Nothobranchius furzeri: one gene and its partner. The protein of the gene in region 1 interacts with the protein of each later gene in a pairwise test. Links are inferred from orthologs where the notes say so. Each region holds a gene or a part of one and is shown in the gene's direction. Other genes may lie near its edges. The genes, in order: vbp1 and pfdn4.

Region 1 (16,504 bases):
TCGAAGTGATCCGCAATCTGGACCAAGTCCTGTTTGCAGCAACCCTCAGCAGGCTCACTGAGACGGATCTGCTAAAAATTCTTCCACCTCAAACATAGCTGACTGTACACAGACTAAGGCCTAGTCCACACGTAGCCGGGGTTTTTTAAAAACGAATAACCGCCCCTCCAAAAACTTGCATCCACACCACCGCGTTTAAAAAAACTCTGTCCACACGTACCCGGATAAATACGTTGTTAAGGACATGCCAGACCTGTAGGCGGCAGTACTTCCCCCGTCCTTAACCTCGTCCTTCGTCTGTGGTCTTCCGCAAGGATCAGTAATTCCGCTTGCAAAAACAAACAAGCAGAAAGCGCTTGGATAATTGATGGATCGGGTAGTGACAGAGTGCAGCTCTGAGGGCTTCCATGATGCCGGCTAGTGTAAACACAGGTCGCACACGTGATGTCAGCATTTTTTGTCGCGGAAAGTGACGTTGCGGACCTTAAAACTCCGGTTTTGTCCGTCCACACGCAGACACCCAAAACGGAGAAAACGCAGATCTTCACTTTGGCCGGAGTTTTTAAAAAGATCCGTTTTCGTGTGGATGACAGGCCAAAACGTAGAAAAATATCTACGTTTTGGCAGATCCCCGGCTACGTGTGGACAGGGCCTAAATCAATGCAAAATACTCTGACCAAAAACGGAAAGGATAAATATCCCGGACAAGCCCCTATTTATCTTGTGACCAAACTCCTGGAACCGCAACATAAAATGAAGACTGAACACAAATTTCGGTGTTTAAGATTATTTTTACTTGTAAAGAGCTGTTTAAAATCCTGAAACGAACTGCCGAGCAGGAGCTCTGGAGGTGGTGTGCTTGAAGCTTCACTGAGGAGGATTTTTGTCTGCACCCACAGGAACAGCCAGTTGGTGCAGTCAAGGCCTGCACAAAATCCTCACCAATGGAGAGGCAGAAGGGTTGTAAAGAAACAAAATCTTTACGAGGAGTCTATTAAACATGTACGTCTTTTACAAAATGTGCATATTTCCTACTAAAACATAGTCACGAGACCTTTAGTTTACAGCTTGAACCCATCTAAAAAATGTGAGACAAATTTAGGGGACGATCAGAAATGAAATTGCAAATACATTAAATTTAAATGTTACAGTTTGGATTCAAAAGAAGCACTGGGCTTTCATGCTGGTTATGGAACAGAGGGCCAGATATTGCAGAGCTGCTCAGTGGGTCATCTTGGGCTATGGCTGTCCAGCTCTGTTTGACCAAAACAAAAACTGTATTGAAGTAGGGATGTTTTTGTGTCTGATCCTGTTTTTGGTGTTCATGGAGAAGAGTGGATCTGGTTTGGGAACCTCGTGGACGAGCTTTTTGCAGATGATGTACATCTGTTACATCCATCACGGATGATCGTGAAGCTCCTCCAAATTGAATTAAATCTTCTGTTACACGGCCGTAGATGAAACCAACTGATAAAGCTTGCACGTCACAATTTTGTCCGATTCCAGCTGAATATTTGTGTTTTCTCACAATTTTATTTCTCCAGCTGGAACTGGTTTAGGAATCCGATTCGTTTTTTTTTTTAACAGTTTAACCACTGACTAATGGAATTATGCACTTTCTACAGTTAAAACATTATTTGTATGGAAACTATCAACAAATGAACATGCCTTATGTGTGCTGTTCCGGTAAAGGAAGGAACAGCCACTGCTTTGGTCAGGACGTTGATGTTTATTTCTCCTTAAAAGTCCAGAAGAAATTTTGTTTTGCTCTCCTGGATCCATCTGAACTGTGTTTTTATGTTTGTTTTAACAGAGATGAGAAGAATGCAGAAACATGCAGGTAAGAACAACGCTGACATTACATAAATACCTGGGTGCTAATTTGCTCCTGATGTGTTTTAGTTCAACCATTCAGCCTTCCTGACGGGAAGTGCTGTGGGAAGTAATTCTGGCTTGGGTGGAAGTATTACCAGAACTGCATTTCATTTCTATAGTTGATGTGGAGTTGGACCCGGATACGGCCCATCCAAACATCGTCCTGTCAGCTGATGGGAAGCAGGCTGGCCGAGGTGAGCAGCTCCACGCTGTTCCCGACAAGCCCCAACGCTTCGACCCGGTCATCTGCGTTCTGGGAAAGAAGGGTTTCCAGTCTGGGAGGTTCTTCTTTCAGGTAGACCTTGAACAGATTAAACAACTCCACGTTTGGCGGGAAAGTGAAATGTTGACGATCTGTTTGAATGTAAATCAGGTTGCTGTGGGGAAAAAGACCTTCTGGGACCTGGGTGTGGTCAAAGAATCCGTCAACAGGAAAGGCATGATCACCACCAAGCCGGAGAACGGCTACTGGACGGTGCGTTTGAGGAACGGTAACGAGTACCGAGCTCTGGACTCCCCATCCGTCCTCCTCTCTCTCAGGGAAATGCCTCAGACTGTGGGGGTGTTTACAGATTATGAGGAAAGGACGGTTTCGTTCTTTGACGTGGAGGCCAGATCCCACATCTACACCTTCTCTGGGTGTTTGTTCTCTGAAAAGATCTTCCCCTTCTTTAGCCCAGGGGTGTTAGATGAAGGGAGGAACACGGGCCCTCTAGTGATCACAGCTGTTAGTCAGGAGCCTTAAAGTGTTCTGGAGCAGGAGGACGTCCTCTACAGAGCACACTCTGTTTAAAGACGAATATAGATAAATATAGATGTGTGAATGTAAAACAGTAGCTGAGTGTGTTAAATATAGACAGTTTATAATAGACAGAACTGTCATGCCGTATCACATACTGTGTGAAGGCAGAGATGAGGTATTACTGATGGTTAATGAGTGATGGATCATCCATTCATCCATCTTTAGTTTGATTTGCAACATCTTTGCATCAGCACCAGCTGTCAGATGGAGTTTTGTGTGCTTTGCATCTTAATGAGGTTGTTGTCCAGCACACGTGATGATGGCTGCTCCTGCAGAAAGTATGCAGTCAGAAACTCGAATACAAAATGCAAACTATCATTCGCTTATTGAACCATGTGCTGGAGCCTCATGCAGCTGACATGAAATGTGCTTGTTTACAAATAAAACTTGTTTGGAATAGTCTGTGATGCCTGTGTTCTTTAACCCTTTAGAACATAAAATCAGTCAATTTAGTTTATAAACTAATAAAATGGTCACCATAAAAGTGAATATTGTAATTTGGTAGTAAAATGTCCAACTGTGCAGTACTTAGGTCTGCCACTAGAGGGTAGAAGAGATTTCTAGGAGTGGCTTTAATGCATCAGAAGTGCTGTTGGAAATACTCACAAGATATTATAGATTTGAGCTCCATTAATCGTGCAACGGATTGATCAGAAATTGTATTGATCTTAAATTGAAAAAGTAGAAATATATATATAAAATATTACTAGTCTAAAAAAAAGTATTTCGAGTTGAACACTGATTCAAATGGGCACTTTGTTAATCTCCATACAGTTTGCATGTGGACCTTAGAGGACTTTTACTAAATGGCCCGTATTTCATTTCTGAACATTTCTGATCAGACAAAATATAAAAACATAATTTAAAGAAAATGGAATTCCCTTTGTAGCAATGAATTACTTTTATATTTATATTAATTTTTAATTGCTGATGAGGTAGATTTGCGATCCATTCATTTTCTTCTGCTTATCCGGAGTTGGGTCGCGGGGGCAGCAGCCCAAGTCAAGAGGCCCAGACTTCCCTCTCCTCAGCCACATGTGTATTTGCTTGTATCATTTTTCCCCCCAATTCTCTAAGTGTGTGTGCTGCCTTAGTGAAATTCCCCACTGTGGGATCAATAACGGGGGCAGCAGTAGCTCAGGAGATTAGGCGGGTTGTCGAATAGTCGGAAGGTTGCTGGTTTGATCCTGGCTCCGGACAGAAAATGCTGCTGTTGTGTCCTTGAGCAAGACACTTAACCCACCCTGTCTGCTGGTGGAGGGACTGGTGGCGCCTGTGATCGACAGCCCCGCCTCCGCCACTGTGCCCCAGGACAGCTGTGGCTGCATCTCAGCTCATCGTGTGAATGGATGGATGAATGATACACTGTAGTGTAAAGCACTTTGGAGTCCTCGGACTCTGAAAGGCACTATATTAATGCGAGTCATTTATCAATAAAATCTATGTTCACGTTGCAGGTCTGAGTGATTCATTTAGATCTTTTGATGAGTTAAATGATGTTGGCTACAAGTGCATGACTGAACAACAGACATTGAATGTGCTACTCCTAGTTTGCCTGTCTAATTATAGATTCACTAGGATAAATACAATAAAGTAGATTCACTAGGATAAATACAATAAAGTTTATCTCACCAAAAAGGATATTTACTAAAATCACAATGTAACCATAGAAACATTATTTGGTGTGTGTGTGTGTGTGTGTGTGTGTGTGTGTGTGTGTGTCTGCTCTGTCTTCTCGATCCCCAGTGAGTCGTGGAGGATGGCTGCTTATGCTGAGCCAGGATCCTCTGGAGGTTTCTTCCTGTTAAAAGGGAGTTTTCCTCTCCACTGTCGCTAAATGCTTGCTTAGTGTGAGGATTGCTGTAAAGCAGGAGTGGGGAACCCTGGTCCTCGAGGGCCGGTATCCTGCATGTCTTTGCTCCAACACTTCTGATTCAGTGGTTGATTCACCTGTTCTGCAGCTCATCAAGCTCTGCAGAAGCTTGTTAATCACCTGCTGATTGAAATTAGGTGTGATAATGCAGGGTTGAAACTAAAATATGCTGGATAGTGGCCCTCGATGGACCAGGGTTCCCCACCCCTGCTGTAAAATCACTGACTTTACGACTTGATGCAATTTGCTGGGTTCCTTATATAGGAAACGTTTATCTGATTGGCTTAATGAACTGACCTGTATTGGAATGTTTACCATGTGAAGTGCCTTGAGACGACTCTTGTCGTGATTTGGCGCTATATAAATAAACTTGAAACTTGGAAAAAAAAAATCAAACTAAACTTGAGTCAAGTAGTTTACTCCTTTCCCACCTCTGCACACACGTATCAAGATATCCAGTCAACCTAAATTATTAACATTACATCTTAAAGTTTTCCATTTAATAGGTACAAAATCTTCCATGATATCTCCTTTATTTTCTTTTACCTTCATTGTTAATGTGCAGATTGTTTCTCCTATCAGACCAGATGCTCTCTTCCTCCCTACCAGTCTGGTTCTGAGCTACTTAGCCTCACACAGCAGGCCTGTGTCTGCTGCCGATCAGAGAAAATTTTTAATGATTCAAGTTTTTATTTTTGATTATGAATAAGGGTTCTTTTACATATTTTCCTTCCTGCTGTTTCCGGATGTGTGAACTACTCCTTCACTATCTGATGAATCCTGGTATTATCATTTTGGAATATGCTCGTTCCATCAGGGAAGTTCGAATAACCTGGTCATTCAGTATATTTAGGTAGTCATCTGACCTCATTCTTGGAGCACATCCTGTTGCTGAACCTAGACCTGACCAACTGCAGCAACCCCAGATCATAGCACTGCCCCCACAGGCTTGTACAGTAGGCACTAGGCATGATGGGTGCATTATTTCATCCGCCTCTCTTCTTACCCTGATGAACCCATCACTAGAACAGGGTCCATCTGGACTCATCAGACCACATGACCTTCCACTAGTCCAATCTTCATGCTCCCTAGCAAAGTAAAGCCTTTTTTACCAGTTAGCCTCACTGATTAGTGATTTTCTTATGGGTACACAGCTGTTGCAGTCCCTTGAGTTCCCTTCACGTTGTTGGTATGGGAATGCTCTTACTTTCACTGTAAACATAGCCCTGAGTTCTACTGTTGTTTTGAACCAGTTACTTGAGACCTCTACCTTTTTAGTTCAGCTCATTTACCAGCAATGCCATCAGTCCTGCAGAAGAAACACAATTAATCTGCCTATCTCTTTTATCAAGTGTGAACAAGGCACTAACTCTGGCTTTCTACTCAGTGCGTGAGGGCAACATACAGTTAATAGCCACCATCATAGTCTCTTTTTGTCTCCACTTTGTCTCCACTGGGCACACACCGGTACATTTCAGATGCGTCCCAGAAGTGTAGTGTCATGCCAAGTCTACATTTATGTACTATGCTTCCAGTATGCATCAAGATCAGTAGTTCAAACCTGGCAAGACAGGGAATCAAACACAGAGTATAGTGTGGCTAATTGTGTAAAGCATCTGGCAAATTTCAAAATAAGATCCAAGCGGATTTCCTTTTGCATAACTGTAAAAAACATAACCTCCTTGGTGGAGGTAAAAAAAAAAAGGACAGAAAATGTTGTAGTCTCAGTGGGTCCCCAGTAGAGGCAGCAGAGCTTCCCCTTTACCACTCCGACTTCTTGTACGCATGCGCGTGCGTCAGGACGAAAGAAGCCTCTCCAACATGACGGCGACCATAGACAACAGCAATGCTTCACAGGCGAACAAAAAAAAGCACCTCGGTATCCCCGAAGCAGTGTTTGTGGTGCGTATAACCAGACGCTTCTGACGGTGTTACATGTTTGTAACGGATGTAATGTATATTTGGTGTGACCGGTTTGTCAGCGGCGCAATTCTGACTCAGCTAGGAGGCTAAGTTAGCAGGTGAGCTAACAGAGTGTCCTGCTGTGTGTGCATGTTGGGCGGCTGCTCGCTTCCATCTATGGACATCACTGTCTGCCTGTAATATTCAGCTCACCTGGTGTTTCTGAGGTCCTTCAGCTGGACTTACCTGCCAGAGTCAACTGTGTCTTTAGTTAGCTAGCTAGCTAACTAGCTTGTCCATTACTCAGAACAGTACTAGCATCTTGTCTGACGTGCCCTGTCATAGAGAGCATTAACGAGCACAGCTCAGCGATTTTTTTAAATATTACATTGAAAGATTTCCACTTTAATCTGCTAATGATATTAACTTTGCTAATGTTTTGAGATGGTATTAAAAATGTGAGATTTTTGTATAATCTGGCCAATTTATCTTGATTCGATTCTCATTTAAATTAAAACAGAAAAATAAAGATAGAAAGTAGGCCTGGGACGATAACAGAATTTGTTGGACGATATATTGTCCAACAAATTATTGACGATAAATGATATTATTGTTGACATTATCAAGACCAAAATAACCACTTATGTAATGTTAATATATCATAATAATGCAAGGACACCCATTAAAATGCAACAATTAAACCTTTATTTAACATGGGAATGTCCAGACCCTGAACTTCTAAATAAATAAAACAAACAAAAAATAAATAAATATAAAAGTGCTTTCACTCTTTTAGAAAATATTGCACCAAAAACAATAACGTAGACCCCGTCTCCAAAACAACAAATACAATGGCCTATCCAGTGTCAAGAACCAAACTGCACTTCAATAATAATTGTACATTTCTTAACCTCAATATATTGAGGCTTGATTATTGAGTTCATTTTCAGCCCTAATATGAAGGGAAAATAACACGCATTGGAGTGAACAATAATGTCACAATTAGATCAAAAGTTCAGAATACCATTATGTTTAATGTGTAAATGAATGAAAAATACCAATGACAGACTAAAAGGGTTAAAAATCAAATTATAGATACTTGTAATGCTACCAGATTTGTAGGTGATGTTCTTTGGTTACGATGAGTGGATAAACGGCATCATATTAACAATTTGGGTAATTTATTAATTACTTCAGTGATTTTTCTTCATGGCAGGAGGAAGGTTTACACCTGGACACATTCTCAGATTACAGCACCTTACATGAGTATAGAAATTCTCATTTTCTTTTGTCTTTGTCTTTAACACAACAAATGCATTAATGTAATGAGATAAATAGATTTTTTCTTTTATTATCTGTGCATCAAACCATTTTATAGAATACAGTAACTTTTTTTTTTACCAGTGCCCAGGCGATTTACTTCTGATGCTGTCAAATCAAATTTAAACTGTTCAATCAAAACTTTCTGTGAAAAGTACTTAACTGTTAAATCACACATTTTTTCTCATTTTTAACAGAAAAGCTAAAAGATCATATTTATTTTAAACAAAAGATTATATTATATTTGTATTTATAAAAATGTTTGTAATTTTTTTGGTTTGTTACATTTATTTGTTTAATCTGACACTAATTTAGGGTTTTAATTCTCACTAACCTGTTTTATGGTTTCATTTATTGTGACTTTGAACTTATAGGTATAACAAACGGAAAAGTATTTTAGGAAATGGTAAGACCTTATTTGTGCTTCCATGTTAAAAACACAAAGGCCAATTCAGAAAAGTGTAATTTCATATTTTGTCCACCAGACGGCGCTGCAAACACATCTCACTGAGACTTTAGACATTTGACTTTGTGGTATTGAAAGTCTCATTTGTGGAGTAGTTATATAGGCCTTTCTGTTTTTTAATCCCTGTTTGCTGTTTTCCAGGAGGATGTCGACTCTTTTATGAAGCTGCCTGGCAACGAGACGGCAGACTCTGCTCTGAGGAAGCTGGATGAGCAGTACCAGAAATATAAGTACATGGAGCTCAACCTGTCCCAGAAGAAACTCCGGTAAAACAGAAATACAAACACTACGAGTTATTCGGGTTACATTAATACGTGCATGAATTGATATGTGTGCACCTGGTAGATCTGTAAAGTAGGAAAGCTGGATGCTTATTTATTTAACTAAAATCATTCTTATTTAATAGGTTGAAAAACCAGATTCCACAGATCACACAGACGCTAGAAATCCTACGACACATGCAGAAGAAAAAGGTGGGTGAAGTTCTGTAAACCAGCTCCATACTGGAAGTGAGTCTTCTCCAGTTCCTCTAGAATGACAACATAGGGATGGGTGAAATAAGCTACCGTAAATCCTCTAATACAGGCCCGGGTCTGTATTTGACTCAAGCTCATCAAGCTCCAGGCCTTTATTGGAAGGAGGACCAGAATTAGAGGCAGGCCTCAATTTCTATTTGAGCAAAATGAACTAATGGTTCGCTGGAGTTTTTGACAATTAGAATTGCGCCCACATTTTCAAAGTTAAACACATTTCTTTTAACAACGGTAGTTTCTGCTTCAGCCCTCTCCCCCTGCGCAGCGGTGCAAACTCACTGATGCGCCTGCAGCCTCTCGGAGTTCCTGCTGCTCTAAACATTAAAATAATTATTTTCTGTTCCTCACTTCTGATTACCTTCAATGGTGTCTGTTTGTTGCAACCACCAGGTACAAAAACTAACTTGTTTTTATTTGACTATTTTTCTGTCCTGTCTGTTTATTATCTTCCTGCATCTCCTCTCAATCCTAAAGAGAAACTGCTACCTGGGTTCATATATATTCACCTTATGAGTTACCTTTGAGCTGCAGTTCTAAAAGATCTACCGACCACAAAAACAGCGGAGTGCTCGCTGCTTGCCGGCCGCATCAGTGATCGGTGCGTCACAGAGGACAAAACAGGTGATGCACCCCGATCCACAGCAGCTAAAAGCATCAGGCACAAATAAAAGAATAAAAGACAGAAAACATAAAAGGAAATGAGCCGACATGAACGATTGCGTGTTAAATTAGTTTTTGAGGTGGCGACACTTGATTTGATAATGTTACTGTAGCCGTGCTCAGGACGCAGATGTCTGGAGTGCGTCAACAATCAGAGCTTTGCATGCGCAAGCTGGTTAAGGTTAGGATGGGGTGAGGGGAAGGTTAAATTGCAAGAGGGTAAACGTCACAATTTGGTTAAATGTCCGTTTTACGGCGGGTGTCAGTACCGACGCTCTGGCACAGCGCGTTGCCTCCCGACACGCAGGAGCTTGTTAATTGAATACAGGCCAATATTAGAGGATTTACGGTATGCTTCTTTCTTTGCCTTTTTGAACTATTTTAGTCTGTGTTCTTTGATATAAGCTGGAAAGTCATATATGGCGAGGCCATTTAATATATACAGTTGTGGTCAGAAGTTTACATACACTTGTAAAAAATATAATATAATGGCTCTACTGAGTGTCCCGTTATTTCTAAAACTCTGATTTTTCTCTGATAGAGTGATTGGAACAGATACTTCTTTGTCACAAAAAACATTCATGAAGTTTGGTTCTTTAATGTCTTTATTATGGGTTAACAGAGAAAAGTGATCACATTTGCTGGGTCACAAATATACATACAGCAACATGAACTAGCAATTTTGTTGACTTAGAAACGTGTCAGTGAACTGAGCTTCATAGCATGGCCTCTTAACTTCTTGTGAGTGATTATGAGTGACTACAGCTGGTGACTTCTCTTAGGCCAGGTAAATAGGGCTCATTGGATACAAACGCCCACAAACGCTACAATGGGAAAGTCAAAGGAGCTCAGCATGGATCTGAAAAAGTGAATTATTGACTTGAACAAGTCAGGAAAGTCACTTGGGGCCATTTCAAAGCAGCTGCAGGTCCCAAGAGCAACAGTGCAAACAATTGTTTGTAAGTATAAGGTGCATGGCACTGTTTCATCACTGCCAAGATCAGGAAGAAAACACAAGCTATCACCTGCTGCTGAGAGAAAATTGGTCAGGAGGGTAAAGAGTGAACCAAGAATCACCAAAAAGCAGATCTGCCAAGAATTAGAAGCTGCTGGAACACAGGTGTCATTGGCCACAGTCAAACGTGTTTTGCATCTCCATGGACTGAGAGGCTGCCGTGCAAGAAGGAAGCCCTTGCTCCAAAAGTGGCACCTTAAGGCTCGGCTGAAGTTTGCTGCTGATCACATGGACAAAGATAAGACCTTCTGGAGGAAAGTTCTGTGGTCAGATGAAACAAAAATCGAGCTTTTTGGCCACAATGCCCAGCAATATGTTTGGAGGAGAAAAGGTGAGGCCTTTAACCCCAAGAACACCATGCCTACAGTCAAGCATGGTGGTGGGAATATTATGCTATGGGGCTGTTTTGCTGCCAATGGAACTGGTGCTTAACAGAGAGTAAATGGGATAATGAAGAAGGAGGATTACCTTCACATTCTTCAACATAACCTAAAATCATCAGCACGAAGGTTGGGTCTTGGGCGCAGTTGGGTGTTCCAACAGGACAATGACCCCAAACACACATCAAAAGAGGTAAAGGAATGGCTAAATCAGGCTAGAATAAGGGTTTTAGAATGGCCTTCCCAAAGTCCTGACTTAAACCCCATTGAAAACATGTGGACAGTGCTGAAGAAACAAGTCCATGTCAGAAAGCCATCAAATTTAACTGAACTTCACCAATTCTGTCAAGAGGAGTGGTCAAAGATTCAACCAGAAGCTTGCCAGAAGCTTGTGGATGGCTACCAAAAGCGCCTAATTGAAGTGAAAATGGCTAAGGGACATGTAACCAAATATTAGCACTGCTGTATGTATATTTGTGACCCAGCAAATGTGATCACTTTTCTCTGTTAACCCATAATAAAGACATTAAAGAACCAAACTTCATGAATGTTTTTTGTGACAAAGAAGTATCTGTTCCAATCACTCTATCAGAGAAAAATCAGAGTTTTAGAAATAACGGGTCACTCAGTAGAGCCATTATATTATATTTTTTATAAGTGTATGTAAACTTCTGACCACAACTGTATATATATATATTTTTTTTTTACTTACTTTTGTTGTTTTCTTTCTTTTGTGAATTCAATATTATTTAACCTCGTTTGAGAAGAAAAAAATCATGAAGTAGCTGATTCTACCCCTAGACCTAAAGGACATAGGTAATGGAATTCCTTTTTTAATTTATTGTGGTACCTTTTGTTCCCACAGGAAACTACGGAGCGAATGGAAACACACTTCCTCCTAGCTGACAACGTTTACTGTAAGGCCTCGGTGCCGCCCACTGACAAAGTTTCTTTATGGTTAGGGGTGAGTAGCACTCAGGATGATGTCTGGTTTTATGGTCTTTGACTCGATTACAGTGGTGATCTGGTGTTTGCAGCTTCTGAAGTGATTAAAATAACCTCAAAGGGACAACCACACAACAGATTCCAGCTTATTGAGCTGTTCGGGATTGTTGTTCATGTTTATGACCCAGATGGACTCACATCTGACTCTATAGCACTTTAGTCTACAGAGAAGTTCATGATCCACTCAATGGCTGTAATGAACCCAAACCATCAGTCTTCCACCACCGTGCTGACAGCTGATACCACGGCTTGTTCTAATGTGCTGTGGTTGGTTTTATCCAGACAGTGCTATACATTATGGCTAAACATGTCTGCTTTGGTTTCGTCCATCCCTTAGGCCACTTTTCTCTCTGATGTTAACACACACCTGTATGCTCCAGACCAATACACCTTTGTAGAGGTGAAGATGATCATTGAATCAATATTTTCCACTTTCCGTTGGACTTCATTTGACTTTATTATAGTTTATTAAATAATGATGTCGAATCTGTTGTGTTTTGTAGACTTTGGGTTAGATTAAAACCTGATCACTCATTATATCATGGAACATTAAAGAGGACCAAAACGTTTCTCCCCTAAAGGCTAACGTCATGTTGGAGTATGACATCAACGAAGCCCAGGCCCTCCTGGAGAAGAACTTGTCCACAGCATCTCGTAACCTGGAGACCCTCGAGGAAGATCTGGATTTCCTGCGAGACCAGTTCACCACCACTGAAGTCAGTATCCTTCCACTGAGTGGTCCACTCTCACTGATCTGTGTCTATGGATGGCCACATGGATCAGAGGGAAGATTTGGAGACTTTGACCAAAAGAGAAATGACCTTTTCAGATCAGAAATAATTCCATTAGCTATCCTTTTATTAGGAAGGAGGTCACTGGTGACACTGGTTCAGTAAGTCACAGGACATGCAGTGTTTTTATAGTCATGAACAACATGGTGGGAATTAAAGTAAGTGAAGAAATGTGATCATTGTTATTGCATATTAGAACAGCCTAGATGGTAACATTTGTTCCAGCTGGGTGTTGTTTCAGTCATTAACTCTTTGTTTGGTTTGAGTTGAAGTGACTCAGCAGATCCACAGGAAACTTAAACGGCTCCAGAGGTTGCGAAGGTCAACATTTATTTAGTTCAGACTGGGAAATTATAGCCACTTTTACCCTGTTTACCAAAAGATTCAGCAAGTTTTAAACGATAACTCATTTTATCTAAGGTCACATGAGGTCACACAGGCTGTTTTTGTAATAGTGCAGTACAAATTGCATACGTCCTCGTCAAATCAGCGTCTTTTTCTCAACAGTCTTTCAATGTACATATACATATTATAATACATCATTAGAAAGCTGGGAGTCTTGTGATTCCAATGATAAATGGTCGTCGTCGTCTTCCTCCGCTTATCCGGGTCACGGGGGCAGCATCCCAACTAGGGAGCTCTAGACCGTCCTCTCCCCGGCCTTCTCCACCAGCTCCTCCGGCAGGACCTCAAGACGTTCCCGGACCAGATTGGAGATGTAACTTCTCCAACGTGTCCTGGGTCGACCCGGGGGCCTCCTGCCGGCAGGACATGCCCGAAACACCTCCCCGGGGAGGCGTCCAGGAGGTATCCTGACCAGATGCCCAAACCACCTCAACTTGCTCCTTTCGATCCGGAGGAGCAGCGGTTCTACTCCGAGTCCCTCCCGAATGTCCGAGCTCCTCACCCTATCTCTAAGGCTGAGCCCGGCCACCCTACGGAGGAAACTCATTTCGGCCGCTTGTATCCGCGATCTTGTTCTTTCGGTCATTACCCAAAGCTCATGACCATAGGTGAGGATTGGGACGTAGATCGACCGGTAAATCGAGAGCCTGGCTTTGTGGCTCAGCTCCCTCTTCACCACGACATATCGGCTCAGCATCCGCATCACTGCAGACGCCGAACCAATCCGCCTGTCGATCTCCCGATCCCTCCTACCCTCACTCGTGAACAAGACCCCGAGATACTTAAATTCCTCCACTTGAGGTAGGACCTCTCCCCCGACCCGGAGTTGGCAAGCCACCCTTTTCCGGTCGATAAATGGTGTTTACAGATTTAACCAGTTCTGTAGACACAATAACAGCTTGTTACACCACTCAGAAATTCTAAATATGGTGCTTACAGTTCAAAGCCTCTTCACTGACAGAATAGAGCAATCTTGAACAGTTATTTGTACATCCACAACGGTCCAGTAGAAGTACTCCAATAAAATAATTAGCTCACAACAAGTCTTTCATCCACAAAAGAATAAATAAATAAAGCTAACGGATCTCTGAAACCCTACAGAATTTCTTTCAGATGCGCCTTTCTAACCATAAACCCCGTAGGCACCTTCATAATAACTTCAAACTTTCTATCATTCATTGGGTGGATGGTTGCCCCCTCTCCTGGGGCAAAATCTTCAGTGATTAGCTGGTGGGTCAGAAGTGCCCCCCCCCCCCCCCCCCCCCCCCCCACACACACACACACACACACACACCCCTTCTCACATGTGTAGTTTAAACCAATTGCAGCTAAGTATGTTGATGAATTGGCAAATAGCCGATGAAATCCAGAAAACGACTACCTCTAACTTAACCAGCCCCTCGAGGTCGGCTTTGGCAAATGTGGTAAGGCTGATGGCGATTGTTGGATTGTTGTGTGTCAGGCCCACAAACGTCACCCATAGTCGTTTTGGACCGTTTGAAAACATTTAACGTATCACCCATCCTTATCGACCGGTTTTGATTTTTAGTGCATCTCTGCTACTTACCGACATCATTCATCTAATTACTGATGTGTGTCTTCTGACTTGCATTAAGATTAGTACTGCAGTCTGGAATAAAAGCAGACATTTTGCTTTTAGATCAAATGTAGCACCCCTGAGGTTTGAAAAAAGGTGAAACCTTGGAGTTGGTGGGCGTGTCTACCTTCCCTTTGAGGTTCCAACAAAAGTACATTTAAAGCTACAGTGGTTCAGAAACCTGCTGACATGGCCCTTTAGGTTGATTTTTTTTGTGTTTTATATCACGGTGAACCTTCTGGTTTCTCTTAACTCGCTGCTCCCCTCAGACATGGCACGGGTCTACAACTGGGACGTGAAGAGGAGGAGCAAAGAAAACCTCCTGAAGTCTGCAGACAAGTCTTAATCTAACAGGACTGCCCCCCTCTGCTAACGTCCTTTCTCATCATTAAAAGTAGAAACCATCCCTAAGTGTGTTCGCCCCAGAGCTCAGCTCAACGAGGACACGTCTGAAACAGTTCTGCTCATTTTGAATGTTCAAACTTTTAGATTTTTCTGTTTTAGCGTCAAACAAAGTTAGACATCAAGTCCATGTCACAGTTCAGTCTAGATTTTCAACGTCTCCTCCATTGAGCTGAGCTCAGACTTCCACCACTACTGTTTTCTGTTGATTTGTTACTTTTAAACTATTTTTTCAAGTAAAAACTAACAAACAAAAAAAATCAGCAAGGTAGTTTTGTATTTTTTTAATGATTCAGGTTTTTATTTTTGATTATGAATGAGGGTTCTTTTGCATCTTTTCCTTCCTGCAACACTTAGACGACGGTGTTATGGAAAGCAAACAGTTGACAGTAGTGTGATGGTTGTCAACACAGAATAAACTAGTTTTGGCTTGTGGCTTTTCTTTGTCACTTTCTGAGACTCGCTGGGGTTTCACATGATCAACAGTGGTCCTTCAGAGCTGCTGCTTCTCCGTCCTTTAGCCTTCTACACTTCACCACATCTTTCTCTTCTGTATTTATTTGTCTTTATTCATTAAAGAGTGAAGTTAAAAAAGGAACTTCTAGATGAAGCAATGAGACCTGGTGTGGTTTATCTGAACAGATAAAAGGTATGCAACAGTGTTTGTTCACAAGACTCAGAAATTCTGGTTCTGATGAGGTAAACACCGTCTCTTCTCTCATGGGTCAGGTTATCTTGTACATATACAACTGAAATATTTACTTTTTCATATTTGTACTGAGATAAACTATGTGAACAGATTATTAATACATACACTGCCCAGTCCCACAAAAAGTCGTTACCAAAAAAGGGAGATACACTAATATTTCATTGGACCGCCTTTAGCTTTGACAACAACACTCATTCGCTGTGGCGTTGTTTCAATAAGCTTCTGCAATGTGACCAGATTTATTTCCATCCAGTGTTGCATTCATGTTTCACCAAGATCTCGCATTGATGATGATAGAGGCCGACTGCTGCACAAAGCCTTCTCCAGCACATCCCAAAGATTCTCAATGGGGTTAGGGTCTGGATTCTGTGGTGGCCGATCCATGTGTGAAAATGATGTTTCAAGCTCGCTGAACTACTTCACTATCTGATGAATCCTGGTATTATCATTTTGGAATATGCTCGTTCCATCAGGGAAGTTGGAATAACCTGGTCATTCAGTATATTTAGGTAGTCATCTGACCTCTTTCTTGGAGCACATCCTGTTGCTGAACCTGACCAACTGCAGCAACCCCAGATCATAGCCCCCACAGGCTTGTACAGTAGGCACTAGGCATGATGGGTGCATTATTTCATCCACCTCTTCTTACCCTAATGAACCCATCACTCTAGAACAGGGTCCATCCTGACTCATCAGACCACATGACCTTCCACTAGTCCAATCTTCATGCTCCCTAGCAAAGTAAAGCCTTTTTTTACCAGTTAGCCTC
Region 2 (16,539 bases), on another chromosome or scaffold:
GCTTGGTTTGTCTCAACACAGACGGAGAAGTATAACCTAGGCTTTAATAACGGGGCTTTGTTTTCTCACAGAGCGCAGTAAAAAACGGCACTTCATCTGGTCATTGAACACAACATTTTACACCATACAGCTGCTCACGTCCTCTGAATGAATGAAAGTACGAAACGCTTCGACTGAATAAATGGTTAATAATTTTAACGTTACTGATCAGTGTCATCACTCACAGTCAAAGCAGTCGCGATATGCTGACGTTTGTGCAAAGTTCTGAAAGGGCTGGATTTGAATGCATCAGCTGAGAGGACTGGGACATCCTATCACCTGGTCAATGTTCCCGTTGCAGGAACTACCCTGGAGGTCCGGTAATGGAAAAAGGGCTATTGTTTTGTAAAAACGTCTAATAAAATGACATCAGTGCCCAAATTTATTAACCGTCCTAATTTTGTTTAAGCAATTGTTGCACACTTTCTGTAAATCCTATAAACATTGTTTCACCTCTCAGATATCACTGCGTGTGTCTCCTCAACACGTTCTCACTCCCAGCGCGTCAAAAACAAACGCTTTGTCAGCCACCCTCCACGTCGGACCCCTGACGCCAAAGGGCCCTTTTTCGTTACTTATGTGCGAAAAGGGGTTTTTCCCTTATTTGACTGCAGATCCCAATGCAGCGTAACACTGACGCGATGGGATGTCCGCAGCCAGGGCACCAAACAAGCTCATTGTACCGCACCTTAACCTTATCCTCTTATTTAACCTTCCCCTCACCCCTATCCTAACCTTAACCATCTTGCTAGCGAACACGTTAGTGATGTGTCGATCGTTCTAAAAGCCTGCTCTATGAAGCGAAGGGCGGGAGCCGCCTCGTCATTGGTCGGGTTTGGACCGAGCCAACGCGAGGGGGAGGTTTCAACTACCACGGTGGAGGTTAAAAGTAGAGGGTATGTGTAACCTCCCCTCGCCAGATGGTATGTTCTAACGTTCCCCTTGGGCGGCAAATACGAAAATTCACAGTCAGACTCTGACTGTCAGAGTCAGAATGCATGGGAAACAAACGCTTGATCACAGTGAGAGTAACGTTTTAGGTAGCAAGAGGGTTAAGGTTAGGATGAGGGAGAGGGGAAGGTTATAAAAAGTGAAACGTTAAGGTTTAGGTGCGGTTAAACTAGGAAAAATTTTGCCCAGTGAAAATAATGCCCCAGGGTCGGCCCTGGTTATAACGATATTGTTATTACTTCTCTATTCCTATTATTAGGTGACATTTAACCTACTGACAAGCTGTGTGACCACTGGCAACAATAAATATGCCATTTTCTTCCCAAAAAAAGTATATAATTGAAAAAAAATGATATAACATGATTCAGAGGGACTTAACTGATAAAATGATATGCATTACAACTCTGAAAAAAATTTGGGCACAAATGGGTTAACAAGGCTGCCCAAACGTTTGCATCCCGCTGTATCCCAGTGCGTGACTTAAAATGAAACGTTTAGAAAGTAAAATACCCTGGATGATTTATTTTTTTCAAATTATTCTGAAAATTTGTTCAACGTGACATCCTCTTAGTCTGCCATAGGCATCATGGGATTTGTGAGAAAAAAATTTTGCTGGAAAAAATGTTGAAAGCGTGCAGTATTTATCAAATTTCCTACAACAGTTTGTGGAATTTTTGGAGACAATAGCCCAGTTGTAGCCTATTGCCCGCACACTGGGGTGGGAGTCGGATTCCCTAGTTTGGACTTTGTGCAAAGGCTGCTGCTGAGGGACTTCAAGCAAAGTCTTCATGAACGCACCAACGCTTTACAGCCTACTGGTTTTATTGGAGGCATCATACTCACAAAAGGCCATTGATTTGAAAACAGAAAACTGGAGAATTAGCACTCTTTGTTTTCATGGATGCAGACTCTGTATGCCTGGTGTTACTGCCTTACACATGTGTTCAGTAAATATTTGATCTTGGGTGCAGTCCTGTTTGCCTTTTAAATATGCACAGAGCAGCAGTTCCGGTTTAAAAATCTGTTTTGATAGTCAGGTGAACGTTCAGATAAATCACCTGAGATAGGCTAATAGTTCTTTAATCAGTCATGTAGAGATTAAAATCAGCATGAAGACCTCACATGTTGCTGCCATTTAAGCTGTCTGCCCAATTTCTCATGCATGTATGTAAAGTAGCATGCAACTCTTCTCTCACCAACCCTTCCCTCCCCTGGGCGGGGTGAGTGGCTCTTCATCTCTAGCTGGGGTTCTCTACCAGAGGCGTGGGGCCTCATTTATCAAGCTAGCTCACGCACAAAATGGGGTCGAAAACTGCGCGAGCAACTTTCCACAGAAACTGTGGGATTAATGACAGAAAACTTAGCGGAAAAATGTGCACAACTTTAAGTTAACTAAGGACCTGGCTTACGCACATTTTGGACATGGAGAGCACCTGCAGTGCTGCTGCTGAGAAGGATACAGTTATGAAATCCTGCAGCATTATCACTTGTACTGCTTCGTTTTCACACGGAACAAGATCCCCCACACGCACGCACACTCACACACGCACGCATGCACACACACACACACAGCCTGAAGCGCAGAATACGGAATGCAGAATATCAGCAGGGGGACAGATTGAGACAGAGTGTGTCCTGTCACTATAACCCGATTGATCGTGCACCCTGGCTACTTGGACAAGGGAGATCTCTGTTTGGGTGACTGGTTAGCGCATGTGACTTTCACCTGGGAGCAGGGCTGGACTGGGACAAAAATTCAGCCCGGGCATTTTGACTGGAGACCGGCCCATCACCTGTTTTTTTTTGGAAAAGACATTAAGCCTTATGTTGTTTCTGACACACACCAACGTACACTTTCTTATTGGTAGTATTTATGTATCAATCTAATAAACGTAAACCTACACCATCCTTCCTATCCTGGTATTCTAAAAAGTAGGGTTGGGGGTAACTGATTATTTTTAAAATGATTATTCTGACGATTATTTTATCGAATAGTCGACTATTCTAATGACTATTTAGATGATTAATCTAGTGATTACTTTTCTATTGCACAATTAATAAAAACCAAAAAATTCTCAAATAAATTCCTCCAAAAAATTGATAAGTTGTTACTGTAAGAGAATAAACACTACAGGCCTTCCATTTTGTATAACACTGCTTTTATTGTGTTGCGGTTGTTTATGTTCTGGTGACGTGTAGAACTTGGGAGTGCAGGCTGCTGCCTGAGAGGTGGTTGGAGACGGAGTGTCTCCATGCTGCTTTGATTTGTTCACTTATGTGCATGAGGCAAGTGGTGTTACGACCCTTCCTGGGGAGTCACGTGTTTCTCCTATTTTAACTGTAAATCCTTCTAGCTGTTATATTTATAACAAGAAACAGATATTCGGACGGAATATTTTTATGTTTATTCGAATATGATTGTGGAACACACCCGGCATCATAATAAATGAAGTAATATTTATGCCAATTTAAGCCTTTATGGGTGACCAGGACTCTGTGATCAATTTTTGGCAAGGGAAATTATCATTTGTTGCCATTTTTTAGGTGTTTATGAATGTGGAAGACACCCAGCATCCTGTGATGGCATTAATAACATCAAGAGATAATAAATAAAGTAATATTTAGGTAAATGTAACCCTTTACACGTGACCAGGACACTATAATCAATTTTTGGCAAGGGAAATTATCTTTTTTTCTTTTTTTTTTTTTGCCATTTTTGGGGTGTTTTTGATGACACAGTAGGCAGTATGAGTACAGTAACGTCAACAGATAATACATAAAACGCTTATTTGGTCAATTTCAGCCTCCATGAAAATCTTAGCGATTCAATCACTTTTTGGCAAGTAAAATGCCATTTTAGCTGTCTACAATTAAATCATCAATAAAGAATTTAAAGATATTTTGATGCATTTCTTATAGGTAAACGGGAGGGTGTAGTCTATTTGGCACGTGACAATCTTAATTTTATGTGCTGAAGTGCTTTTATCTTGTTACTTTTAAATAGAGCAACGTAATGAATAGCAACCTACACAGTGTCATTGTAAAGCCAAAGCTTGATCATTTTAAATACTTTTTTTCAAGTAAAAATGTGCCCCAAACTAGTTAACTGTGGCTCCATGTCAAGTGGACTAAAGAAAGGAAGGGGAAAAAATTAAATTGCTGGAGAATTGTTTATTTCCATTTATACAACGTTTACATTCAATACAGGGTGCCATTTTACATTGTTTATTTATTTTTTTAGTATCAAGGCTGTAACATAAAGAAAGCCAGTTCTTACCACAAAGTTTGTGGCACAAACCATCTTTCAATCGCAAATATTGCAAAAAGGATTAATATATCCTCATTGTGAACGTTTAAGACAAATAGCAACACTTAAAACAACTTCCGAACTGGAAAAACTAATGTGGCAAGGTGCAGAAAGGAGTGCCCAGGCGGGATTCGATCCCCAGACTCCCGGGTGAGAGTCATACGCTCTAACCAGTCAGCCAAAGAGGCATCTCCTTAGCCCACTAGCCAGGGCGCATGATCAATCGGGACATTGTGACAGGACGCTCACACAGCCGCATCTTCCTCCCTCTTTCCACAAGGACGTCCTCGTGCTCCCGCGCAGGGTGCCACCAACACTGCCACACTAATATCCGCGATAAACATCTGTTTAAGTACCGAAAGAGGTTATCTTTGCTTTCTGAATGTCCATATTGCTAGATATGCCGAGTTTTAGGGCGAAATCCTGGGGAATTTTGTCTAGAAATGCAATTACCTAACCGTGCGCGATCCCGCGGTGGCTAATCATTTTTTGGCAGCGAGTCAATTTATGGCACAACACCGGCTCGGGTTTCTCCTCCTCCTCCCTCTTTTCTTCTCCAACCTGTCGCTGGGCTGAGGCTCCATCACTTCCTAAATTGATTTTACTTGAACCTTCACTACCAAACAACTGTGAGATTTTAACACATGTGCCAGCATCAGCCTGAAGGGCCAGTTTCTTTTTTAGTCGAATTTTCTCCGCTCCTCCTTTCCGTTTTTTGTTCTCCATTTTGTAAAGCTCGTCTGTCTGTTTACTGAGATTCACAAACAACTGGCGGGTGCATCAGACCTCTGGCTATTGGTCCAGCCCAGAGTGTATTATTACCAATTGGCCAATCCACCAACTTTTACGAGGCGTCGCGTGGGGTGGCGCGGACAAGTTGTCCGCAACAACTAGAAGCCAGGAAAAAAAACAAAACAAAAAAAAAACAGACACCGGCCCATAAAAGATGAAAGGGTCGGCCCAGCGGGCAGTTGCCCGCTATGCCCTATGGTCAGTCCAGCGCTGCCTGGGAGTCTGGGGACTGAATCCTGATTGGATCATTTTTTTATATCAGCCACAGATCTCTCTGAAGAACTCAGCATTGACGGCTTCAGCAACGCTGTGCCACTCCGTGGATTTTCTCTTATTTGTTTTGCAAAAGTACTTCCTTACATTTCTCCACCTCACCCACAGGTACCTCAACTTCTGCTTGTGTGTAATAGCGCTTTCTTGATCTGCCTTGATCTACGGTCGCCATGTCATTGGCGGAGCGCTGCAACAGCCGGCTTATGTATACGCATGGGATCCACAAGGCACTTTGCATTGACTATTTATGGCAGTAAGTGGGCGTGGTGAGGGCGGGATGTGACTAAAAAGCAGCTGAGAACCTATCTAGATAGTCTCTGATTTATGAAGTTGCAATTGCGTGCAGCTGTGTGTACTCCATGTTTGATAGATCACAAACCTACTTGGCATAAGTACTTTTTTTTTGCTGAGCTTAAGTACGGTTTTAGTAAGGATTCTACACAATGTTTGATAAATGAGACCCCTGGCAGCTTGAAGGTTCTTAGCTGGTCCTAGAACTGCACTCTTCCAGACTGAGTTGTCAGATGTTTGTCCAGGAATTTGTTGGAACCACTTCTCTAGTGTGGGGGTCTCTTCAGAGCACTGTATCATTGTATCATCATTGATCTGTGTCATTATTTGGTTAATAATACTTAAAAAAGACCACTCTGTAAGTATTTGTATTCAATCTTTGTCACATGCGCACAGCATGTAATGCTGAAGTGCTACCGCCAGGTGGTGGTGTCGCAGCGGCTCTCTATTGAGCGCTGCTTTCTGACAACAGCAGAAGAAGTCAAGATGGCAGCTACCGTCATGAAGAGTCCTGTTGTAAGTTCGTTTTTAAAGGAATTTTACGTTTTCCTGTAATTAAATTCATGCGCCGCTTTAGTCGCAGATATGAATGGAAACAGCAGAGGAGTATTTGATGTCAGAAGTCACAGTTTTTGGGGTTTATTTTAACCATTCTCACCACCCGTTCATGTGAGTGAGTGGAGCTAATGTAGCTAGCACAGAGGCTACAACCACCCTGCCGGGCAGCGGCTGAAGCTGACGACGGTTTATCGGTTTGTCACTAACCAGCTCTGTGGGAGTCGACCGGACCTCAGACCCGGTGCGCTTGTGAAATGTTTAGTTATTTACAATTAACGTCATCTTCCGGTTTGCAGGCTGTTGAAGACGTGGTTGTCACGTTCGAAGATCAGCAGAAAATCAACAAATTCGCCAGAAACACGAGTCGGATGACGGAGCTCAAAAATGAAATCGAATCAAAGAAGGTGAGTTTGGTGTTTTCTGCTGAAGCATCCTCGTTTCCTGTAACCTTAACCCGATGCTGGCTTATTTCAGGTTTTTATCCAGCCTGGGTAATGTTGAGTAGATTTCTTACATCTGTCAGGAACTGATCGCAGTGTTTGTTGTTTCTGGCTGGCTAAAGGAAGATCAACATGACTTTTTAAAGAGTAAACTCAGACCTCCATCAGATGGTGGCTTTGTGGCTCAGAGGCACACTGGTAGCTCTAACCTCCAGAACGTCAGTGCCTACATGGAACAGTTGCCACTTATGCAGATCAACACCGGTGGGGTTTGACTTCGGCAGTTTCCTCTAAAATGCCAAAGTCATACACGCAAGTTGATGTAGAACCCTGTTATTTAATGTGTAAGGAGTCTGATGTGTCCTGGAAGAGCTACTGGAGCAGTCAGTAATCTATGAACTGCCCTCACCGATTGCTTTGTGTGTGGTGTCCTCTTTCAGAGAACGCTGCAGAACCTTCAGGATGCCAGCGACGACCTGATGCTGTTAGACGACGACACTCTGTTGATCCCCTACCAGATAGGTGGTGTCTTCATCAGCCACTCCCAGGAAGAAACACAAGAGATGCTAGAAGCTGCTAAAGTGAGTGGATCCACGTAACTCAGTAACTCGTTTTGCTCTTCTCTTAAAACATCAGAGAGAAAACCGAATTCAAGTCGCTGTGCAGCTCGAAGGTGTCGAAACAAACCCGGAACTATCGAGGTTAGAGCTGAGGAAAATAATCGATGCATCGGGATGCGGACATAAACGATTCTGCATCGTAGAAGAGTACGCCATCATCGATTATAGTGGAATGTAGTTTTGTTTTTTTAACAGCGGCACCAGCGCAGCGTCCAAATCTGTCAGAGTGAGCGTCCTCCACATTTACCAAGTGGTTCCGCCTTAATGTGGTTCTGCAGGGCTGAGCGCTTGAGTTCTAACCTGAGACCGAACCGGAACCGAATCAGCCCGACTAGTTCTGTTGGATTTGGGCCCTGAATTACGTCAATTGAGTGGGTTGTCACACGGCGCGCTCCGCTCGCACAGCAACTGAGAGAGGGAGAGAGAGGATCGGAGGACGCTCCTCCAAACCGATGCTCCAAACACGCGTTATTATTTTCATAATTTAATTATTATTTCTCCTGGAAGCGCTCAGTCAGACCGAGTGTTGTGATGCTGGGAGATCCGGTCTTGGGGAGGGGGCGGGGTCAATGACGGTGGCTGCAGCGTGATCGTCTTTTATTTAGGGACACGGAGAAATTAAGAGGAGAGAGATAGAAGATAGAAGTTCTTGTTCCACTTTATTCTTTTGTGTCATGATGATAATTTGATGTTAAATTCAGCTTAAAGAGAAGCTGGGAGGAAGCTTTGGTTCATTTTAAGTTACAGGAGGTCTTGTCTCCCATCTGCTCCTCCAGAGACAGCATGGACATGAGGGTCACATGGTGAGGGTCCCACAGGACAGGTTAGTGGAAAGGTTAGTTAGCTGGTTAGTGAAGGAGCTCCATCAGCTGGGTAATTTAATCCTAATCCAGCCCACAGCCTTCTGCTGGTGTTATTATCAGAAAGAATAAAACACACATCTTAAATATTATTGGAAGTGTAGAATTTGTTTTATGTTTTATTATTTTCTGCATCAAACAGAACTTGATTCATTCTCCAACATTTCAGAAATGAACCACTGGGTTCAAATGAAATTAAGTCAAACATTTCATTTGGTGTTATTTCTGACACCCTTCAACTGTGGCATAAATATCGGACTCTAGAGCTGCTCAGAGACATTAAACACTCATATATGAACCCATTATGGATTTTATTATTACGTTATGTTTCCTGTAGGTTTTCAGTACTTTTTTAGATTTTGTGAGTTTTTGCAAAGCGTGTTCTTCTCAGCCTGAGGCGTGGTGTTGAACGAGGAAACAGATGTTTTACTTTGTTAAATCTTCTTAAATGTTTAAATGTTTTGTCCTAACCTGTTGTGAATGGAGAGATTTTGAGGGACAGCAGGTTGTGTCGATTACGCTTTTGATAAAAAAAACATAAAACTAAAAAGCAATTATCTGACATCTTCCATTTATCGATGAAAACAAACTAATATGAAATAATCGTGATGCGGGATGCAGCTATCGAATATTTTTGTAATCGAGTACTCTATCGAATCTTTTATCGATTAATCGAGTACTCTAATAAATTACTCTTTTGTGTTTTTAAACCATTATATCAAATAGCATGTTATAAAATATGAAAGACCTCTTGAAATGAGAAAGCAATTGCCAGTTATTCTTCAAGTTTTATTCAAAATTAGTTTTCAAAACTTCAGCACTTCAACTTTACTTCACAGTAAACAAATGCGAGCGGCTGCGGCCCAGACAGAACCAGAACCGTTCACGGCGCATGCGCAAACATGGCTCGCCAGCTGTTTCCCTATTAACACACGTCCGTATTAATTTCTACTTTATTTGTCTCACACTAACAAGGATTGTCGAGAAAGCGTGTTTGCCGTGGTTTTGTCAAATTATACTGATCACACAACATTTATTTACTTCCTTTCGTTTTCCTCCGCCACTCATAAATACCCGTGTCCTCCTGCAGCAATCCCGAGGGACAACGGACATCGACAACAACACAGTAAAAAATCGGCGTGTTGTAAAAACTGCTATTTTTAGCACGTTTTAAGACCGACGTGTTGCTACCAGACGTACGGTGTGAGCTGAAACTGAGCGCTACAAATGAAAACGTCGCACAGTGTCTGCAGAATATATAGAAATACAGGCTAAAATGCATTATCTTGTAGAGGCTCGCTTGCAGAAGTGACATTTACATGTGGATGTTTCCTGGTCAGGTGCTGCAGCATGGAGGATGTGGTGTTGTGGTAGGCTACATCCATTTTACAGTATTTACACTGGACTACGTTTTCCGCCTTACGACGTGAAAAATGGTCCCACAACTTTGACATTTCCTGTCTTTTTCACCCTCCACCGGGGTCCACGTTGTCCGCCATGGCTTAAGAGAAAGTTAAGTTGCGTTCGCTACTCGCGTGTGCATTCAGTGCAGTGTGTATGTGCGTCACTTATCTCGGTCCGGGTGAAACATGACCCCGGGTGATTGCAAAGCCATGAATTAATTAAACATGAATGAAACGAAGCTTCGAGGCAGAGAATTTGACTCGAGGATTTTTTGTACTCGAATTATTCGAGGTACTCGAGGAATCGTTTCAGCCCTAATCGTGATGCATCGGGATATCGAATCGAATTGAATCGTTGACCCAATAATCGTAATCGAGTTGAATCGGGAGACAAGTGAAGATTCACACCTCTAATCAAGGTTCAGTCCCACCATGGAAACCGTATGAGTACCAGTGTCTCTGTCCACAGCGGAGGCAGTTTACATCAACATGAACTCAGAGGACCAGGAAAGAAACTCCTTATGCAAAAGAGACAGAATATAAAAAAACTATTTCCTCTCGTCGGAAGGGACAACAAATCTCACCACAGCCATTTACTTTCATTAAACGCTGCTACACCGTGGCTTGTTTTCTGCATTCTCTCAGTAATGCTGCATGTAAGTGAGACCCCAGTCATGTGCGGCTCAATAACAGACGATTATCAGAAGGTATTCAAATTTGGCACTGAAAAGGCTCATCAGTAGTGCCTACCAAATGTGTCAGAACTCGGCTCTACTCGTAACCGTTTTGGTGGTTAACTGAAATGTGGATCTTCTGTCAACAGGAAACTCTGGAGCAGGAGGTCAAAGGCCTTGAGAAACGCGTGTCAGCGATTCAGCAGGTGTTGGGTGATCTGAAGGTCCAGCTCTACGCTAAGTTTGGAAATAACATCAATCTGGAGGCTGATGAGAGCTAAACAGTTTGGAATCTGACAGAGGACGGACTTTTACTGGTTTCAGAACTTGGTTGATGCCAACAAAACATGTTTTCTGTTTGCTCTCCTGGCTGTTGTTTACTCTGATGATGCGTTTACCTGCCTCACAACATCAGGAACTGTACAGATTTGGTCATTAAATGAATCCGTAACATTTATTTGTTCATGTGCTCCGTAGTTTTGTTACTTCTGTCCATCAAACTGAAGACACAGTTTCCAAATCAGATCAATAACTGGTTTTATTATGAAATCTTTAGGCTCAAATGTCACAGAGGCAGGACTAACTAAACAATCTTCCTTTTATTTATAACAATAATAAATAAATGGATGAAAACATTTATTTTAACGTCAGTTTTCTTTTTGAAACACCTTATGAACAACTAAAGCTGCAACGGTTAAAGGAAAACCCAGAACGGTTTTAAGCTTCAGGACCACTTTAAAGCCAGGCTGACAGAAATCATGATGCTAGCTCCACCAGAATTACACTCCAGCTGGGCTTTTATGTGCGTTTGTTCAACAGCAGAGGCCACTGTTGGCAATCTGGATCAAGCATTCGTTTTACGTGTCAAATCAGATTCTCAGGTCTGATTTCAATTGAGGAACATTTCTAAAGTACGTTGTGGTCTCCTAGCCTGGCGAGCCAGTCTGTCCATGACCCTTTGACGGCTCTCAGTGGCAGGGCAGAATCTACACTGCTACTGGACAACCGACGTTACGGACTCACCGCTGCGGATGTCGGTCAACAGGGCAGTCCGCCACACGCTGTCGCATAAGATGAAAAAATGCTCCAAAGATGATGCCAAAACGGTTTCACATGAGCCGTCGCCATCTTTGTTTCATTCGATTACGGGGCGAGCACTTAACTCCTGTGCCACCGTCGCCCCATAAAAATAAATGGTTATAATGATAAATGGTTGTTGGGTTCTACGCCCCCCAAGGTGCTTTACAACTTACCAGCCATTCACCCACCTACATTCACATGCTGGTGGTGATGAGCTACATGGTAGCCACGTGCTGGGGCCCACAGACGGAAGCAAGGCTGCCGTAAACTGGTGCCACCGGTCTCTCTGACCACCACCGGCAGGCATGGATGGTAAAGTGTATTGCTCAAGGACACAACAGGGATAGATGGGACTCGTACCTGCAACCCTAAAGCACTTAACTCTTCTGTCACCTTTGCTCCATCCTTTAGTGTCATTACTCTGGGATGTCTGGAACACCCGTGTTATTGGACTAAAACGATCTAGCTCACAGATCATCTGCAAATGTTTTCCCAAAACAGCAAAATTCTTTTTTATTTCACAAGGATTTTTATTAAGACTACGTTTCTTACGGTTGATTATTACAGTAATCGAGTAGACTAGTGATTATTTAGAGGATTAATCAAGCAAAGTAATTAAAGACATTATTTATGTTTATTTATTTGGCAGACGCTTTTATCCAAAGCGACTTACAATTTATAACCTATGGGGCATGTTGTGATCTGTGAGGGAAACCAGAGGAAACCCACGCATGCATGGGGAGAACACGTAACTCCACGCAGAAAGGCCGCCGCCGAGTTTCGAACCTGCAACCTTCGTGCTGCGAGGGAACAGTGCTAACCACTGCGCACGTTAGACTGACCTGCAGAGCAAAAGCTTTTACTACTGCTACAGTTCACCTAGATTTCTAAGCTACCCTATAGCTGACTTTAAGCAAAATATTCCTTTTCTTGATGATGAAATAAAAGTTTGGTCCTTAAAAATGCAGAAAATGCGTTTAAGTGCAAGCAAACTCTTCAGTTTTGCAAAAACAGGATGAGAAAAATTACATTTCAGTGATTTCACCTTTTATAAAGGTAAATAAGCCCAAAACGAGGCATAATAGTGAATATCTCAAACAAGGAAGCAGACTCCTATAAAACATGTAACAGCAGTTATTAACATCCACAACGTCTCGTGTGTGAGCTACGTAACTCATGCTAAAGGAGCATGTGGTTGATAAGGAGGAAAGTGAGCATATCCATGCTCACCACTGGGCTTCCCAGGGCTTTGATGCAATGTTTCCTGCTCTGGAACAAGTGCTCTGATGGTACAGTAGAGGTTATGGGACATGCAAGCACAAAAAAAGAAATAAATATGGCGGACGAGGATTTGGATTTGCATTGCTCTGTGAAGCTTGCTTCAGTCACCTTGCTTTCTGATTGGCCACATTTTTTTCTTGGGGCAAACCACAAAATGATGTTGGGTCAACATGTTTATTAGCCTGGGTTTATGGTCCGTGGGGCCCCAGCGTCCTTCTGAGCAGACCAGAGTAAGAACTACGTTTTTGTAGCACTTATCACAGAAGGAAAGATCAACAAAACAAAAAGATCATAATGTGAAAAACATCAAAATATCATTAAGGAAATGAAAGAACTGACAGTGTAAGAGTGCTGTGCACTGAGGTCTATTCAAACCCATCCAGTGGTTCAGAAAACCAGGGTTGACCCCAACTTCTAACAAAGGTTTTAAGGAAAGAAGTTCAACCTGAACCACATGATGAGAACGACTCACCCATCTCACCTCATTTCAAATGAATGTCTACAAAACTCGTAAAATTACAGCATTTTCAGCTATTCAAGTTAACTTTTCTTCTTTTTCTTCTTCTTTCATTTTGATTAGCTGTGGTGGCCATGTTGGATTAGGCCAGTATTTCTCAATTACTTCCCTTCCATTAGCGAATATGCATTTTTTTTTTGCCCCCAAGTGCATCATTTCCCATTATTTCTTAATTTTCTTATCTAATTTTGTGACTTGCCTTAATTTGTATGTGTGCACCATTCCACTGATGAAAATTCCTGGTCATGTGAAACTGCTCACTTGGCAATAAAATGATTGTGATTCAGATAAGAGCTTAGCTAACCAAGCTACCCACAATTATATATTAGCAGGTTAATTAGATTGTTCTTTTACTCTGAACAGACCCAGGTGCAGGGCATGCACACAGGTTTATGCTAGAAACACCTGTGCACAGGTGCATTAGTTGTAACTGATATTTATTCTTATTGTGGAGCTGTAGTCATTTTCCCAGCAGTTAGTTTAATGCTGGACTGAGAAGGGAAATCTATTAAATTAGCCATTATGAGGCCTTCATCTTATTTTGTAATGTTCTTACAATTTTCTTTCTGGTAAACAGGCATAGTTGCTCATCCTGCGGTGACTCCACATGGGTTTGGAAAGTGAAGAGACCCACCCAATATGGCGGTGATGGTGATACACCCTCCAGCACCCAATGAGGCATCTGTTTTCATTTCAGGTTAAACAGGCAGCCTGTTGAATAGTCTGAGCACTGCTGCCACCTAGTGACTGGGGGTTTAGCATCCCCAGCATGAAAACATATACAAATTAAAGCTGCAAGCAGCGTCGTTCGGCCCTCGCAGCGAAGATGCTCACCCTCCTTCCGCACCCCCTCCGCTCCATCCCCGATGCTCTCCAAACCCAACTCCCCGCCGCTCCGTCCTGGCCGGCAGCACGGGGCACCAGGGCACGTCCACGGACTGAAACGTCCACCACCCTGACACCAAGAAAAGCTAACAGTCACCTCATCCACACCTCACCCTGAATCAGCATCCCCTCCGAGCCTACCATTATATTACATGTCTCACCACTAGGGCATACTTTATCTTTAGCACACTGTTGGTGTGATGACACAGACCAACTTTAGTGCTTTTTTGCCCATATTTATTAAAGTTTTCGAAAGTTAAAGTTATCTAGGGGGCGCTGTGATCAATTACAGAAAAATCCCATTGAGGTCAGCTTTGGTTGACAAGGACAGTTTTCTGTTATTTTGGCATCAAACGGACGTTGTGTGTGTTAGCTAAAGCCAGTGAGCTGAAAGGGGCGGAGCTACAGGGATTTGAATCAACAACCACATCAATGTGTTTGGTGCAGTCACGTGATGTCACAAGCCAAGTATAATGCCATTCTGACTTTGACTTTAGAAGTTAATAAAGTTTGAACCCATCTAGGGGGCGTTGTGACCATTTACAAGTAAATGCCATAGAGGTCATCTTTGGTCATCAAAGATGGTTTTCTGTTAATTTGGAATCAATCAAACGTTGCATGGGTCATCTAGAGACAAAAAGCTGTAAGTGGGTGGAGTTAAAGTGAATTGAACAAGTGATCACATACATGTGTTGATTGCAGATGTGTGATGACTCCCACAATGTTTGATGTAGTTTGGAACTTTTTTGCAGAAGTTACAAAGGTTTTTTGTATCTAGGGGGCGCTGTCCCAAATTTAAGAATTATTCCATGAAGAAGTTTGTAGGTTGATGACAGTCATTTGTGTGCAGTTTGGTGTGAATTGCATCATGCATGTGTTATTAAGGGCCTAATATCTGTCAGGGGGCGGAGCTAAAGCAATATCAACAACTTACCACAGGACTGTGGTGGGTGCCATTGTGTGAGTACACATAGCAAGTTTGGTGCAGTTACGACCTCGTCTGTAGGAGTTATTACAGTTTTAATGGTGTGTAGGGGGCGCTGTGGTGACATTACACAACTTTCACCAACGGTGTGTGCCTCGTTGAATAAAGGGCATGATTGTTGATTGCCATGTTCAGTCTCGGGCAGATCGGAGGTTGTTAGTGGAAGTTACAGTCAAACGTAAGGTCACGGCGTCACGCCAGAATTCGCCGTGGCATCAAAGCCCTTCCCTTTCTGAAAAGCTATCAGATCTGAATGGTCATTACAACATCATGAAGACAGTGCATGACCTTAGTGTCATGTTGACTAAAGTAGAGGGGACAAATATGGGCATTTCACCATTAAAAAATAGACTTCCTGTAGTCAGGGGGCGGGGCATAGGTGATGTCAGCTGTCCACATTGTCATTGTCTTGAGATGTGGTCAATGATCACACAGACGGAGTTTGATATAGATCTGATCATGCACATGGGAGTTGTTAAGTCAAGTAATGTAATGGCGAAAGGTCAAAGTTTGAGGCTTAGCCACGCCCACACCTTTATACTTGTATAAAATCCGACGGTTGAATTTTTTCCTCTATGTCTTAAGATTATATAGCAGGAGTTTGAAGGTGATAGGTGGAAAGGACGACGAGACATCATTCTCCTAATAACGTGTGTGAAAACCACTAAATCGAGTAATTGGACCAAAATGGCCGACTTCCTGTGCGACTTTGCACTTGGCTCAAAGAGACTTTTTTGTAGGTCCTGAGACCCCACATTAGTGTACCAAATTTCGTACTCCTCAGTCAAAGCATGGCTTGGGGCTGACAGTTTTAATGGACCTAGGGGGCGCTATTTCAGAAAATAGGCCACGCCCATTTGATGTTCACATGAGATCTTTTGGGGGGCCGGACTAGGATCACTCACAAGACGTTTCGTGACTGTATCTATAGAAATGACGACATGGGAGGCACATGTATGGTCACGGCGGTACGCCTGACTTCGCCGCGTCGCCACAGCCCCGCCTTCTGCAGAAAACACCCATAAAGTGACGTCAAGCAACGCCAACTTCTCTTCAGTTACCTGCTACAAATTCGGGCTGATTATTCGACAGGGCGAATTTTGGAAAATTTCCCAGTAAAACTTGACGTTTTAAGTCCTGAGGGGGCGGGGCTTGTGTGACATCATCCAGCGACCATTCATTTGTCTTCGGGGGGCGATGACGATTATCCATAGAAAGTTACTTTAACTGTAATTCTTTCATTTGTGAAATTATAGCAATTTGAATTTTTTTGGCGAGTGCTCGAACTTTGAGGCCTGGCCCCGCCCCTTCAGTATTTACGAAAAGTCAATTTTATTTTCTCATTTGAAGCGTCCATCGCTTCTGTTCGATGGCACACTATTTTTGAGACTATGGTACGAAAAATGACGAAACTGTTCAACCAAATATAGACCCTAGAAATGGCCAAAACGGCTAAAAATCGCCATTTCAACCCAAAATGGCCGACTTCCTGTTTTATATTGACCATGGTTGCAAGAGGCTTTTTTGTGCGGACTGTTGAGTAGTACCAGTATACCAAATTTCATAACTGTACGATAAACTAA

The links.
Region 2: the proteins of vbp1 (region 1) and pfdn4 interact in binary tests that used the Homo sapiens proteins (3 or more experiments, as listed by UniProt). The link is inferred for Nothobranchius furzeri from reciprocal best matches to the Homo sapiens genes VBP1 and PFDN4.

Annotation. Positions count from the first base shown.
Region 1 is NC_091742.1:80,073,151-80,089,654, reverse strand, and holds vbp1 (prefoldin subunit 3), read left to right. Parts: upstream 1-6,297; 5' UTR 6,298-6,335; coding exon 6,336-6,452; exon of another isoform or gene 6,453-6,571; intron 6,572-8,379; coding exon 8,380-8,504; intron 8,505-8,644; coding exon 8,645-8,711; intron 8,712-11,691; coding exon 11,692-11,790; intron 11,791-12,412; coding exon 12,413-12,551; intron 12,552-14,893; coding exon 14,894-14,970; 3' UTR 14,971-15,636; downstream 15,637-16,504. Other genes in the region: E3 ubiquitin-protein ligase TRIM39, read left to right, coding at 1,814-1,840, 1,995-2,170, 2,249-2,620. UniProt on the Homo sapiens protein: Binds specifically to cytosolic chaperonin (c-CPN) and transfers target proteins to it. Binds to nascent polypeptide chain and promotes folding in an environment in which there are many competing pathways for nonnative proteins.
Region 2 is NC_091755.1:40,017,729-40,034,267, reverse strand, and holds pfdn4 (prefoldin subunit 4), read left to right. Parts: upstream 1-6,040; 5' UTR 6,041-6,055; coding exon 6,056-6,169; intron 6,170-6,507; coding exon 6,508-6,615; intron 6,616-7,091; coding exon 7,092-7,232; intron 7,233-10,357; coding exon 10,358-10,489; 3' UTR 10,490-10,847; downstream 10,848-16,539. UniProt on the Homo sapiens protein: Binds specifically to cytosolic chaperonin (c-CPN) and transfers target proteins to it. Binds to nascent polypeptide chain and promotes folding in an environment in which there are many competing pathways for nonnative proteins.